Cricetulus griseus: one gene and its partners. The protein of the gene in region 2 purifies or fractionates together with the protein of the main gene of each other region. This does not show direct contact. Links are inferred from orthologs where the notes say so. Each region holds a gene or a part of one and is shown on either strand. Other genes may lie near its edges. The genes, in order: Dis3l, Exosc5, Hbs1l and Zfc3h1.

Region 1 (3,565 bases), on a different chromosome or scaffold from region 2:
GTGGTAGAGGTGATCTTGTTCTGAGATCGTTGCAGGGATCCTGGCTTCCATTCTGAGCTGCCTTCTGGGCCACATGAGATCACTAAGCCATCTTTATTCTTCAGATAAGCAGCACCTTTAATTCCAAACCTAAAATCATCAAAAGGGTAAAACCGAGATAATGTATTCTTAGTTTGCAGATCTTCTATGCTTAGCCACTCTTCCTGTGGTTCACTTCCAAAAACATTTTTACAGAAGCAGATAAGAAACAATGCTTTGCTGGCTAAGATCCTAAGACTGATACAGATATGCATATATATGCACTCCTAATTGCTCCCATTATTTTCTGACTACTGTATACTGTGTACATACAGTAATTTTATGAATAGTGTATATATGTAGCATTGCATATGCTAATATATAGTTTGAGAAAATCTCACTCTGTAGACATGGCTAGCCTAGAGCTTGCTTTGAAGACCAGGCTGGACTCAAACTCAGAGATCTGCTTCTGTCTGCCTCTTGAGTGTTGAGATTAAAGGCATATCCCACCATGCCAAGCTTATATTCTTTTTTAGAGATAAGGACTCATATAAGCTGGCATCAGAATCATTATATAGCTACAGATGACCTTGAACTTCTGATCTTGCTTTACAGGCATATGTCACCATACCTGGTTTTATGCTATCTGGGATCAAACCCAGGACTTCATATGTGTTAGGCAATCATTCCACCTTTGAGCCACACACCCCCAGTCTAAATAAATATCTTAGTAAGTTATATATATATCTATTGTGTTCAGCACTGGTATAATTTAACTGTGATTTCTCATTAATTACTGCATGAGAAGTAACATACCTTGGTATGAATACAAGCACACCATTTGTTCTAATTGAATAAATCACTCCATCGGCCATGCATCGCTCCTCTGTTTCTGGGTCTCTGTCTTTAAAGTACATGCACTGGAAGAGCTCGGTGGACTGCTTCTGAGAATGCTGGGCTGCCTGTAAGAAGCACAACCTGGAGCATGACAACAGAGTTCCCTGACACCCAGGAAGAAACAGGAAACTCATTCCCACAGAAACTGCTTTTAAATGGATGGGATTCAACAGTGTGGTGGTGCAAGCCTGTAATGCCAGTACTTGGGAGACCAAGACAGGAGGATTTGCCGTCCAGAGTAAGCTGTTGTTTCAACTAAACCAAAGAAGAAGAGACACAGCAATACCTTCTCAAAAAAGAAAAGAAAGCTGGGCAGTGGTGGAGCAAACCTTTAGTCCCAGCACAGCCTCTAAAGCCACAGAGAAATCCTGTCTCGAAAAATAAAAAAAAATATAAAATAAAAAGAAAAGAAAAAGAAAAAATAGATCAAGCAGCAGGTAAGACGTGAAGGGAAGGCTCCTCAGTGGGTAAAAGCTCTTTCTGTGCAAACCTTATCACCGGAGTTCAACCCCCAGAACCCATGTAAAGCTGGATATGGTAGTGCATATCTGTAATCCCAGCATTCCTATCACTGATGAAAGGCAGAGACGGAAGACTTGGCCAGAAGCTCACAGCTGTGCTCACCAGCTATCCTGGAGTGCACAGTGCAGCAGCAGAAACAACCTGTCTCAGAGACAAGGTGGAAGGCAAGAACTAACTCCTGAAAGAGATTAACAACTCCCACAAATTGTCCTTTGACTTTCACTTGAATGTATAGATACATAAACACAATAAACAAATAGAATTTAAGAGGTTTTAAAGATACGAAAAATTAAGCGAGGTGGTGGTGGTGGTGCTGGCAGCAGCAGCAGCTGCGCACGCCTTTAACCCCAGTACTCAGGGGCAGAGGCAGATGGATCTCTGAGTGAGTTCCAGGACTGCATAGAAAATCCCTGTCTCACTCGGGAGGCATAGGCAGGCGGATCTCTGTGAGTTCGAGGCCAGCCTGGTCTCCAGAGCAAGTGCCAGGATAGGCTCCAAAGCTACACAGAGAAACCCTGTCTCGAAAAACCAAAAAAAAAAAAAAAAAAAAAAAAAAAAAAGAAAATCCTTGTCTCACTCCCCCCCTTCCAAAATTCTAGACAATGCTAACTTTTGAGGGGGGGCAGGATCTCACTATTGTGTAGCCCTGGCTGTTCTGGAACTCACCATGTAGACCAGGATGACCTCAAACTCAGATCTGCCTGCCTTTGCCTCCCAAGTGCTGGAACTAAAGGCATCTGCCACCATGCCTGCCCCCCCCCACACACACACATATGTGTATCTTGCTAATGTAAATCAAGCTAGCCTCAAATTTTAAACCTGCATGCCCTGAATGATGGGGTTATACCATACCCAGCTGCTTGAACCTTTATATCTCTACCTTTTGGGACAGGCCTCTAATGCTAAGTCTGGCATAGAACATACAGAGGCTGAGCTGGAAGGTCACTTGAGTCCCCTGAGTGAAAGAAAACTCAGCCTGGGGAAATAACAGTGAGTCCTCATCTGAACAAAACAAAACTGCCAGGCATGGTGGTACACACCTTTAATCCTAGCACTTGGGAGGCAGGTGGATCTTGGAGGCACAGGTCATACTGGTCTATATAATGATACCCTGTCTCAAAAACAAACAATCAAAGAGCAAGTATTCCACAAGTCATGTTATCTCAGAACACTAGTAAATGTATTAAGAGCATTGGCTACAATAATAATTCTCATTCTCTTAAGCAGTAAAGCTGATACCCTCTTATGAGACAGGTAGGAGTTTGAAATTCCTTCTTACTCTGTTTCTGTTGTTGATGTGTCTGCATAATTCCTCAAGATCTTTGTTGCTGAACAAACTTTCTTTCATTTCCATCTTCTTGTCTTTTGAAATGGCTGCCATTAATAGTCGGTGTACAACAATATCTGAATATCTTCTTATTGGAGAAGTAAAGTGAGTATATTTATCTAATGCAAGACCTTCAAAAGGAAACCAAAGCATCAGAGTAAAGGAAAGACAAGAGCACTTTTGAAAAGATTTGCTCAAGGTTAAGCCATACGTAAGACAATGCTGTCAGTCACCATAATGATGGAACTCTTCCTCTGCACAGGATCCGGTGGAGAAGTAGAGTGCATTGGACATGGCCTGGGTGGCCATGGAGCGCAGCAGCTTGTTCACCATAGGGTCGCTGGGGTCATTTGCACTATCCAGAGAGTCAGCCAGGGTTTTATTGGACCTAACAAGAAACAGAGATGCATTGATGGGTCTCCAAAGGCAATTTACATGTAACACTTTCTACTCCTTGATTTAAATATCTTCATCTACCAGCAGTTAAATTTATTTTAGCCACAAGTTTCTTTTCAATACAGAAATCTAGTTTGCTTTTAAGGCTTAAACAAAGAAAGACTGTCAAAATTTAAATTGTTTTTGTTTTTTTTTGTTTTTGTTTTGTTTTCTTTTTCCGAGATAGGGTCTCTCTGTAGCTTTGGAGGCTGTCCTGGAACTTGCTCTGTAGATCAGGCTGGCCTCAAACTCACAGAGATCAATTTTGCCTCTGCCTCCTAAGTGCTGGGATCAAAGGTATGTGCCACCACTGCCCGGCTCAGAATTAAAAATTTTAAAAATGTATTAATTTTTGCAGGGCAGTGG
Region 2 (4,007 bases):
CAGTTACCAGGCAGCCCGATCTTCGGCCTCAGGATCACTTCGAGTGTGGCCTTGTTGAAGATTTCTTTGCTGACCTTCACCTCGGCTGGCCCGTACACTCCAGCCAGGACAGAGGTGTCACCTGGGGAGACATCAGCAGAGGCCTCTGCCACACCAACTCTCTTCTCTGCCTTCTCATCTGTAACTGGAGACTACTGCAGTCCTTCCCTCGAGGCACTTTTGTCAAGATCACATGACAGTGGCTCACAGAAGCAGTAAGCCCAGTCTCTCAGTGTCACACAACAAGATCAAATAAATACCCATTTTAAAAAGATACAGATACTTGAAACACAGGATGCTGGCCAGTGAGTCCAGAGCCCAGCCCAGACTTCAGCTACTGGTGAGTTTTTAGAAGCAGTTGGGGCTGGAGAGATAGCTCAGCAGGTCGGCACCCACACTGCTCTTCCAGAAGCCTAGAATGCAGTTCCCGGCACCCGCAGGCTGCTCATAATCACCTTGTAACTCAGCTCCAAGGTATGGACACCCTCTTCTGCCCTTCTTGGGCACCCGTACACACAGGCACACACACGTATATCCTCCCAGTGTCTGGGAGGCAGAGACGGGAGGGTCAGGAATTCAAGGTCATCCTTGGCTCCATACTGAGTTCGAGGCCACCCTGAACTACACAAGACTATCTCATAAACCAACCAAAAAGAAATCCATTGTTACATATAATTAATATATACTATTAAAAATATTTTAAAAGGCCTTACAAAAAACAAACAAAAAAGGGTCTGTAGTTGCGTTGGGTAGGGATCTTAATCTCTGCTCATTTTCCCAGAATGGCATAAATGGGTCTGGAGGAAAAAAAGCCTGGCTTCTAGCCCTGATTGCCTATTCCAGGCCCTTGTGTGATTTTGATAACCTCTGTGGGCTACAGAGAAGCCATCTACAAAGTGAAGACACTGCACTCAAACAGTGGTTTCCACATGATTTTGACCGTAATGCCCAATGACCAATACACTCTATACCACAACTCCAAACTGGTAAATGCATGTGTATAAGTGAATCACAGGTGGGCTGGAGAGATGGCTCAGCAATTAAGAGCACTTGTCGCTCTTGTAGAAGACGATTCACAAAGGTTTGTAACCACAGTTCCAGGGGACCCAACATACTCTTCCGACCTCCTCAGGCACCAGGGAGAGCCATAAAACAAACAAACAAACAAAAACAAAACAACAAAACCCAAGGGGTTAGGGATGCTAGCATGTGCAAAGTCCAAAGGGAAAAACAAAACAAAAAAACAAGATGGCTAGCCAACAAAGGCAGGTGACAGGCTCATGGGCTCTGTAGGTTTTCACTGTTGGATTTTCTGGGATCAGGCCCTAGACAGTCTAAGCTGGCCTTGAACCTGCTATGTAGCTGAGTGAACCTGGCCTTGCCTCTACCTCCCTGGGGAACGTACCCCATTTTTATGAATCCTGTTTTTAAGTGAAGATACTACGCTGGCTAGTTTTGTCAACTCAGCACAAGTTAGACAGATCTGAAAGGTGGGAATCTCAACTGAGGAACTGCCTCCATCAGACTGGCCTGTAGGGTAGTCTGCTGGGGCATCTTTTTTTTTTTTTTTTGGTTTTTCGAGACAGGGTTTCTCTGTGTAGCTTTGGAGGCTGTCCTGGAACTCGCTCTGGAGACCAGGCTGGCCTAGAACTCACAGAGATCCGCCTGCCTCTGCCTCTGCCTCCCAAGTGCTGGTATTTAAAGGTGTGCGGCACCAACGCCCGGCCCAATCTGTCTACTTTTGATAGCTCCTCACACTCCCACGACCTCTCAAAGCTGGCTGACCGGCATTGGGTGGAGGCAGGGTTGTGTGGGTGTCAGTCGTGAGACGCCTCTTTTCTCTCTACAATCACTTACACTGATGAGATGAATACACCAAGCAACAGACACATTTACTCAAATGATGGGATGGGAGAAGGGGAGATACCTGTGGGTCCAGAATGGGGATCATCACGTTCAATGTGAAGGGCATTCGCGTGGACCAAGTCATCTGCTGCTGTCACCGCACTTGACCCAGCGGCGATGACAAGTCCTTCTCAAAGGGAATGCATGCAAACGAACACCTTAGCCTCAACCGGAGGTGTACCGATCCAGGAGAAGTGTGTGGAAGGAAATCTAGTCAAGGGGCCTATTCGCCTTGGTGAAATTACACCTGTTCTGGAATATCCACTCTTCCTAGGGCGTGCTCTTGCCCCTGATTCCTTCCAGGCTGGACGTATCAAATATTTTTTTGGTTGTTTTTTCGAGTCGGGGAAGAGGTGTGGACCCCTCCTACGTATCTAGAAATAGTTTTTTCGTTTCTTTTCAAAGAGATGGGCGCACTCGGTTGCACACTACACGGTAACCGCTCTTCCAAAAAAAAAAAAAAAAAAAGAAAAGAAAACAAACCCCACCAGGCGTTGGTGGCGCTCGCCTTTAATCCCAGCACTCGGGAGGCAGAGGCAGGCGGATCTCTGTGAGTTCGAGGCCAGCCTGGTCTCCAGAGCGAGTGCCAGGATAGGCTCCAAAGCTACACAGAGAAACCCTGTCCCCCCCAAAATCCCAAAAACCAAGAAACCCAAGCCCCCCACAGTGGGGCTGGGGATCAGGCTCTTTTTACCTTGCAGGAAAGAAGCAGATCCATCCGGCCGGGACAGCAGGTTCTGTTCGCAGGCGAAATGCCGGAGGCTGCAGCCGGGACTCCGCGGGCCGGGCTCCGCGGCGGTGCCAGCGCCCAGCTCGGCGTCCGCACGCTTCGCGATCTCCATCGCCGCCGAGCACGCGCGCCCCGCCTGCGGCCGTAGCTTCCGCCCCCGTGGTGCGCACGCGCGCGCTGGCTCGCTCGCTCGCTCGCGGGCTCGCCGGCTCGCGGGCCCGGCTCGCAGCGGCTGCGTGGCCGCTGCGCATGCGCCAGCCTGGGCGGCGCCTGACTCGTCCCTGGCACGTGGCTGAGCGTTTACTAACAATCTGGTCCCGCCCCGCCTCCGCCTCCCGATTCTCGCAAAGCCATTGGGCCAGAAAGGAGAGGGGGCGGGTCTTGGAATAGGCCCACCTCGCCCAAGGCCCCCCGGCCCTCAACCCGTGAGCCTGTGGTCAGGGTGTCCCTTTCCTGCCTGATATCGGAGCCGCTATAAGCGGAAGGCTAGAGCCACGGCGGAGGATAATCAGAATCGGCACGCGCACTTAGGTTCGTGTCTTGGACTCACGGCGGTGGGAGTGAAGTCGCTTGTTGGCCCGACCGTGCCGGCATTTGAGGACGGCATCTGGTGGGGCAGCCCCGGGTCCAGCTGGGGAGAGAGGAGGCGTGGCTATCGAGCGAGATGGCGGCGGCGATGTGGAGACAGAGCCGGGGCCTGGCTGCTCTCCTGTCGCTGCGGCGGCCTGGGGCGCGGGGCTTGGCTAGATCCGTAAGTACCTGGGCCCCACGGGGTCCCTCCCGAGGTGGCTGCGGACGCAGAGGTTGCTCTTACGGTGTGTGCGGGTCGTGAAGGAAAGAAAAGGACGCGGACGCTCCTTGGAGAGAAGAGTCAGGGGAAGAGGGAGAAAACCGGGGGTGGGGTGGGCCAGGATCAGCCCCACGTTTCTTTATTCCGTTACTTAAAACTCCACTTGTGAAGCTGGGTGAGCAAGAAGCTGATTGGACCCCTGCGGTCCCCGATCAGAAGCGAAGGCGGGGGCCCGGGCGCGATCACTGTCACAGGCCATCGGGGTATGTTGGTTGATGTCATGAAGGGAGAAATCCACACAGGACCCTTTGTCAACGTTGTTTTTTAAAAATTATTCCTTTTTTTGTAGATTTTATTTATTATATATACAGCATTCTGCCTCCACATATGCCTGTTGCCAGAAGAGGGCACCAGATCTCATTACGGATGGCTGTGAGCCACCATGTGGTTGCTGGGAACTGAACTCGGGCCTCTGGAAGAGCAGTCGGTGCTCTTCACCTCTGAGCCATCTCTCTCCAGCCCATATTTTTTTTAAAAGATTTT
Region 3 (4,017 bases), on a different chromosome or scaffold from region 2:
CTGTTGATGGTGAAATACAATAATCGTCCTCCACAGACTGGCCATACAAATCATCATCTTCAAAATCTAAAACACAAAATAGATTCATTACAAGTTCAATCATGTCTTCTTTATTCATGAGCAAACACCTGAATAATTTACAAAATAAGAAAATACCAACTTTCAAGAAACCTAAATGTCTACTTTTCCATAAATTCCAAGATATTTACTAATAACAATCTAAATTACTGACAATGTATACTTTTAAAACATACATAGGCCTTCTGTTTTTAAGCTAATTGGGCTTTATTTAATTTTCTCACATCTTTCATGTGACCAAAATCCAGTAATAATCCTGTAGATGATATATGTGAATTGTCTAACTTCACAAAACCTGAGGTAAGCCACCCATTGCACTCTAGGCAAATATCTTTATAGGGTATACAATCCAGCCATAAAGTCACTCTTCATGGAGAACCAGAAAGCCTGACTTTCGTGACTGTTAAGTCTTAAAATGGAGCTTGTAAGTGGAGTAAGTCAGTCTTAATGGAGTATGTTCTTGGTTGAGATTTTCCCAAGGTTGCTTCTTTCTCTAGGTAAGGCTCCAATAGTCTTCCTTACAACCTTTACCTTCAGCAGCCTCCTCTTAATTTATTGTCTTCAAAGCACAACTCATGTTTCAATGCATGAGAAATTACAGGAAAAACTTAGTTTAACCAAGTACCTGGCATACATGCGGCACTAAATTAATGTGTTCACCAGTTAATGAGACAAACTATTAAAAACCCTGCAAGGAACATAAATTTATACCAGAGACTATTACAGAGACATTTTCAGTACAAAGTGTGTACATCTCCAGCTCTGTCAACTCCAAAAGTCTAATAGCCCAGAACAGGGTGACTACAAAACTGTATGACAAGTGCTCACCGTGAAAAATACAGAGCAATCTGGGAACACACATGTGAAAACTAGAATTTCCCCAAGAATAGAATACTCAAACCAATTCCAAAAGAGAGAGTCAGCCATCTTTCTAGGGCATTCAAGAAACAGGTACAGCATGCTTAAAGGCTAAGACCAAAGAGGAACCAATAGATTTTAGACCTCAGACTAATGAAATTAAAATACTTTTATGAATTTTTAATTATTGAAACCCCAAAGGGAAGCTTAACTGGGAAGAAGACTAGACACTGAAAATGATTTACACTTTCGTAAGCAGGAAGGGCAAAAAACATCCATGACAGGACAGGGCAGGCTTGGTTATGATGTCACCAATTGTTACAAAGAAATATAACTTGACCTCTGGTAGCCAAGATAAAAGGTATTTAGCACTGACTCAGAGGACATATAACTCTTGTCAAATACTTCACGAAGAAATCCTGACCCTTTCTGATTTAGACGTTTTCTTTTACATTGCTCCCACAGCACTGTCATTACATTGTGTGGAATCTCTCTTGTTTTAACCAGCTGCTCCCTTTAGACAGTCCTTACTTAAGGAGTATCTTACGCAGTACTCCAAGTACTCAGTTATCACTGGATGAGGAAATAAAATACAAAAGGGATGGGTGTCCTTTATTTCATATCTACAAAATCTCTCCCAGTCTAAAGTCATTTCTCAGTGGGAGTGGAGTGGAAGGCATTTTTTAGATATCCACTACAATATTCTGACGGTGAACGTCTGCAAAGTAAGACATCCCTGACCTACTGGGTCCAAGTCTTCAAATGCAGCACTGGGTGTTAGCTGTCCATGCCTAAGTACACTGATGCTCACAATCTCCCAGGGGTGTCAATAACATCCGACTTCAACATTACATGTTCCCGAAAGCAGTAGGTCTTTAATCACATTTGTTTTTATTTTTAGCTTCTATGATGCTTGATAAATACCTGTTATTATCCACTCATGTATAACAAGTCTTCCTAAAATCACTTTTAACTCCTTACATACATTAATATATGTATTTTTTTCATTAAAAACATCAGTGAGTCTATTTACACGCTCTCCCCTCTAGTGTTGCTTTATATTTCCATTTTAAAATACATTTACATCAAGTATAGCAGTCAATATACTGAGTATACACTTGAAGATCAGCAAAACGACTTAACTTCTTGAGCCTTTTAAACGTGAATCTTTTCCATTTCTTAGGTTCCGAATTTTGAAATTCGCTGAAAATTCAGGTCAAGCGAGGTTATGCAGTCAAAACGCACGAACACAGGCAAGATATTATATAAATCTAATAGTTTTAGCAGGTCGGTCGAATGCAAGCACTAAGCCAGCCTGTTTTATAAGTAAGTAATGCCTCGTGGGCACGTGTGAAGGAGGGCTTATGAGACAAAAGTTAGAAACTGGCGCGTGAGTCCCCAAATGAAACAATAAGAAAAGAGGCAACGTTTAGATACCAAAGAGCATCGGATCCCAACGTCGCCACCAAACATCGTAGGCCCTTGAGATGCCACACTGTCACCCGTCCGTAAATAAGGTCAACCCAGAAGGCAGCCATCACTCTCTCTCTCTTCCCTGGGAACTGATGTCCTAATCCTTTCCCCCACCTTCTCCCCTCCTCGACACAAACCCCAGTTCTAGTGTGGCTCCGGGGTCATTCCAATCCAGGCGGAGATAATGAGGCCAGGAACCCAGCTGTTACAGCTAAGATGACGGCCCGGCGCGGCCCTGCCACTCACCTTCATCGTAGTTATAGCCTCGGACGTTCCGATGCCGAGCCATCGCGGCACACAGGGCGTCAGCCACGGTCCTCTCAAAGAACTCGGCTTAGACACGGATAAAGCGCCAACCGCGAGCTAGAGACCTCTTCCGCGCCATCTTGGCTTCCGCCAGGCCGCTGCGCCAAGCGTCTGCGCAGACGCGACGTCATACCTGCGCACTACGCGACGGCAAGCTCTCAGGGTCACAGCCGGCCTCCCGAGGACGCACGCGCACTCGCGAGCCGGCGGGCGGCGCCCAGAAGCCAGTTGACTGACGTGGATTTCAGTGCCGGAAATTCTTTCAGCTACCTCCACGCTGTTGCTTGACAGTGAACGTGACATGCAGGCATCTTTGACCACCGGCGTTCAGGATTATTTTCCATATTTGGCTTTTGATCCTTTGGGAAGCTGCCAATTTGGCTCAATAAGAGCAAGGACCAAGGATTCTGTTTCAGCTTTTAGACTGTAGATACAAACGATATCCGTCCACAATAGTGTGTAAATGTGGCATAATAATTAGTCCAAGCTTTAGAGGGAGAAAAAGTTTCTAAACAAGTAATTAAAATACAGCTACACTGGGTCACTATGCTTTGTGGGTAATTCATGGCTTCAGATATGGGCTCCATCCTCCCTTAACAGCTCTGGTAAACAACTGTCTGGCCTTAGCTATGTAAACTATTTTCATTAACACGGAATAATTAAGAGATTATGCCTTGGGCATTGATTGAATACATAAACATGTGAACTTGCTAAGAGCGTTTAGTACAAGCTTTTCAGACACAGCATTAGCCTTGGGTACTCATGATGTATTACATAATACATAAATCTATAACCTGTTATTAAACATCCTCGTTTTGTAAAACATAGGGCTAATAATGCTGTGTAAAAGCATCAACCTCATTATCATACCGAACAACCTCTTTGTTGTAGCTTGTTTTTGAATGCCAAGACCTTGTATCAAAGGCAAATGTCAAATTCTACCTTACTCAGCTTTTCTTATCCAGATAATGAGAAAACACAAATTCATATTCGTAAATGGCTCAGGTTTGAATTCTGACTACTTAATGGTTATTCTTAACTATCATTGTTTAATGGCTCCAAGGCAAAATTTTATGCAAAAAAATGTAGATGCTAATTTTATACGGTTTTTAAGTGTTTTATTTTACACCTTTAAATAATTTCTACATTGCAGCCTATCTCTTTGTAAGTGAAGATATTATCTTACTCATATATTATCTAATTTGTAAAGTTGTTAAACTATATTTGCCCATGTAAGGAAACTTAACACAGAACATTAAGGTGCTGAAAAATATTAAATGTGCTGGATATGGTGGTTCAATT
Region 4 (3,565 bases), on a different chromosome or scaffold from region 2:
GAAAACAGCAAAAGAAAGTAAAAGTCTAGTCATCATAAGCTACTTACTCAAGTGTTACTTTTTTTTTCCCTAATAAACCAAACCATTTGGATGACTAAAGAACTCTCTGTAACAATGGAAACGTCTTAAATCTCTGCAGTCCTACTGGCCAGCACTTGCCAGTACTTTAAGTGTGGCTAGTAAGACTGATGAATTATGCTTTTATTTAAATTTAAGGGTTGGAGAGATGGCTCAGCGGTTAAGAACACTGGTTGCTCTTCTAGAGGTCCTGAGTTCAATTCCTAGCAACCACATGGTGACTCACAACGATCTGTAATGAGATCTAGTGCTCTCTTCGGGCGTGCAGGTGTACATGGAGGCAGAGCACTGTATACACAATAAATAAAAGTAAAAAACCTTTAAATTTACATTTAAAGGCCAATATGTGGCTTGCGACTATTGTGTATGATAGGGAAAATATAGGTTAAGCATTACAAGTGAATGTACTAAATTATGGGTTATTTAAAAATGCCATAAACTGGATATGATTTTTTTTAACTTCCCTAAGTTCAACAAAAACTTTACAAACCTGTTGCAGAAGCAACTTCCTCATCAGTGCTTGTCTCTGAACAGCCAATCAACGACAGATCATATGACAAAATGTCCTGGAACAACTGTTTTCGGCTAAGTGTATAGTCTTGTACATGCTGCCTAAAATAAAACAGCAGCAAAAGACAACCGTGTATTTATCTAATCAAGGAACCATGACTTTCTCTAAAGGTTTCTTCCAAATAAAAACCACTCACCACTGACAATCATCATCATTACATGTCCCTGTTAAATCAAATCGGCAGAAACACTGCTCCGGCTCAATCATGTTACTGTATGACACTGAACTCAGGGGAAGCTTTTCCTTGGTTCGATAATAAGGACTAAATCTAGAAAGAAAATGAATAGGCACATCATAGTCCATACACATTTCTCTAAGAGCTAGACATTTTCTTAAATTTTTCTTTCTCAGTTAAAACTTCTACACCTGTTTACCTAATCAAATCAATAACCACAAGTAACTACAAATAGCCAGAATATAAGTAAAAAGAATCAACTACTTTTACAATGGAAACACAAGAGACATCACGTAGAAAACTGAATGACATGGTGCCTAACTGAGTTCAAAGAAAGCCAAGACGATGTAGGAAGGTTCCAATTCATTAACAACAAAGACCTGGGAAGCATTCAGTGGCAGAGGAGCTGCCTCGTATGTATGAGGCCCTAAGTTCAATTCCTAGTACAAATAAACCACAACAACCAAAACACTTTAAGACTAGAATACAGAAGAAACAATGCCATTCCTAAGGGGTTTTTTTCTACCACACTACAAAATGCTATTTACTAGTATTTTTGTATACATTACCAGCCAATACAAATGCTAGCGTATGAGCCTATGCTGCCTATTAAATGCTTTATAATTTTGTCATAAAACCATACCCGTTTAGCAGTCCACAACTTCTGGCATTCTGAAAATGTTGTGGGACAACACTAGCCATCTAAGAATGTCTAAGTCAACATTCCAGAGGCTGGCCAATGCTAAAATTAAAAATTCTAAATTGAACAGGTGTGGTAACACACACCTATAATATGCTGTAGCACTTGGGTGGCAGAGGCAAGAAGATTACTTCAAGTTTGAGGCCAAAAAAGCAAGTTCAGTACAGCCACAGCTATGTCATGAGTGTCTATCTTAAAAAATAATAAAATTTTCCATGAGATTCTAGTCCTATAATACTTAATAGAATTTGAATCCAAAGAACACACTAAACTGCACTTTCTGATATGATCTGAACAACAGCAATACAACATATTTTTGTCTCTCATAAAAGATTTGTTTTCCAGTTGACTGTCATTCAAATGCTTCTATTTATTAACACATATTCAACGTAAAACATCAAGAACCAGAGTAACCCTGAAACTCAAACTATTAACTGTCTCTTTTTTACCTGTAAGACTTAAAGACTAGAAGAGGGCTCTGGTAGGGTCTAAAAGGACACGGCTTCACTTCTGTTGTTTTACTCTGTGCTGTAAGAAAATCCACATCCACAGAAATCTCCTGCAAAAAACAACCATCACAATAATTCCACATGACAAGTGAGGCATTGAGAAAACTCTAGATTTTATACAGACTATGAAATGCCACTTACCTGACCGTGCAGAGTCTTTTCTGTAATGCCTGTGGTAGTTTTTGAAATCAACTGTTTTAAGCTGTCAGCTTTTGAATATAATTTTTGTAGTTCACCAATTTTTAACCCTAGAAAAAGTTCTGGCTTTTCTACAGTACTTTTACTGAGTTTGTTTATGCACTCTTTGTTAGGGGTGTCAGTGTGCTTAAGGTTGGGCTTAGTAAACGCATTAGACTCTAGGAAGGATCTTCTTCGTTCTCTGTTTGAACCTGAGGAAACTTCATCATCAACCTCATTTTCTTCGGTGTCCAAGGTTAATTTATCTTGTGTCAGGTCATGAAGTGATGGTTGAGGTAAAGAAAACTCAGCTTCCTCTTCTACAACTGCAACAAGATTTTGTTGTTCCTTTGCTTTGAGGGCTCGGGCTTCTTTTAACTTTTGAATTTTCAAAGCATATTCATATTCTAGCTTTTGTAATCGTCTTTTTTCCATAGCAATTAATTCTGCTGAATGCTTTCTTGGACTTGATATTGGAGAATTATCAAATCTCATCATTTTGTTTGGCTGGGGGGAAAGTAAATATTTTATAACACTTCATGCAATCATATATAATTCCTCACAAGATAATTGTGATATCACTAGAATATAATACCAACATCACAGAACTGAATGACAAGGAGAGCCAAACAACAAGTCAACATACTTTTTCTAGTTAATCTATAACCATCAAAAATTAAAGCCAATGCAAAAAAAATTTTAAAAGCAGATATCATTTAAAAATATACATTAGATTTTATAGAGATATTAATATAATTTGTTCTCTTTGAACTTGCAGCAAAGTTGAAGTTACTTTATGCATCTTAGTTTGCAAATACCATAAACAAAACAAAAAACTTCCACTCCAAAAATATTCCTATAAGCAACTTACTCCAAGGCGGTCTTGTTCCAGTTTTCGTTTCCCAAGTTCTTTACTGGCCACTGCCTTTGCCCGAGCAAGCTCTTCTCCATACTTCAGAGTCAAAGCTTTCTTAATGGTAACACGCTGTTGAACTCTGTGAATCTGAAAATAGAAAACATATAAATGAAAATCTTAGGAAATAACCTCTCAAACACAATATCCTAACAGCATGTCTCAATAAGAGACCACAGGTTACATATATGGTGATGGTGTAAGTTCAATTTTCTCCCCCTTTGCTTTAGAGAAAACGAGGGGGGGTGGGATGATATGCAATACTGGGGCTCAGCAGTTAACTTTTCCAGAGGACTGGAGCTCAGTTACTAGCACCCAAGTCCGGCAGCTCACAACCTCCTGTAACTCCAGCTACAGGGGACACAATGCCATCTGACCCCAGTAAACACCAGCACACATGTAGCAGACATGAGACATGAACAATGCAGTAAACAAAAGATTA

Evidence for each region.
Region 1: the proteins of Exosc5 (region 2) and Dis3l purify together in Homo sapiens (affinity purification with mass spectrometry; 5 studies listed by BioGRID and IntAct, with this or other methods). This does not show direct contact. The link is inferred for Cricetulus griseus from reciprocal best matches to the Homo sapiens genes EXOSC5 and DIS3L.
Region 3: the proteins of Exosc5 (region 2) and Hbs1l purify together in Homo sapiens (affinity purification with mass spectrometry; 3 studies listed by BioGRID and IntAct, with this or other methods). This does not show direct contact. The link is inferred for Cricetulus griseus from reciprocal best matches to the Homo sapiens genes EXOSC5 and HBS1L.
Region 4: the proteins of Exosc5 (region 2) and Zfc3h1 purify together in Homo sapiens (affinity purification with mass spectrometry; 3 studies listed by BioGRID and IntAct, with this or other methods). This does not show direct contact. The link is inferred for Cricetulus griseus from reciprocal best matches to the Homo sapiens genes EXOSC5 and ZFC3H1.

The regions. Positions count from the first base shown.
Region 1 is NC_048597.1:175,922,919-175,926,483, forward strand, and holds part of Dis3l (DIS3-like exonuclease 1), read right to left. Parts: intron 3,153-3,565; coding exon 2,998-3,152; intron 2,896-2,997; coding exon 2,717-2,895; intron 981-2,716; coding exon 835-980; intron 130-834; coding exon 1-129. UniProt on the Homo sapiens protein: Catalytic component of the RNA exosome complex which has 3'->5' exoribonuclease activity and participates in a multitude of cellular RNA processing and degradation events.
Region 2 is NC_048602.1:9,460,870-9,464,876, forward strand, and holds the start of Exosc5 (exosome complex component RRP46), read right to left. Parts: upstream 2,835-4,007; 5' UTR 2,787-2,834; coding exon 2,639-2,786; intron 122-2,638; coding exon 8-121; intron 1-7. Other genes in the region: Bckdha (2-oxoisovalerate dehydrogenase subunit alpha, mitochondrial), read left to right, coding at 3,339-3,425. UniProt on the Homo sapiens protein: Non-catalytic component of the RNA exosome complex which has 3'->5' exoribonuclease activity and participates in a multitude of cellular RNA processing and degradation events.
Region 3 is NC_048595.1:268,535,275-268,539,291, forward strand, and holds the start of Hbs1l (HBS1-like protein), read right to left. Parts: upstream 2,836-4,017; 5' UTR 2,699-2,835; coding exon 2,656-2,698; intron 67-2,655; coding exon 1-66. UniProt on the Homo sapiens protein: GTPase component of the Pelota-HBS1L complex, a complex that recognizes stalled ribosomes and triggers the No-Go Decay (NGD) pathway.
Region 4 is NW_023276806.1:140,718,329-140,721,893, forward strand, and holds part of Zfc3h1 (zinc finger C3H1 domain-containing protein), read right to left. Parts: intron 3,214-3,565; coding exon 3,082-3,213; intron 2,718-3,081; coding exon 2,175-2,717; intron 2,084-2,174; coding exon 1,974-2,083; intron 918-1,973; coding exon 786-917; intron 691-785; coding exon 569-690; intron 1-568. UniProt on the Homo sapiens protein: Subunit of the trimeric poly(A) tail exosome targeting (PAXT) complex, a complex that directs a subset of long and polyadenylated poly(A) RNAs for exosomal degradation. The RNA exosome is fundamental for the degradation of RNA in eukaryotic nuclei.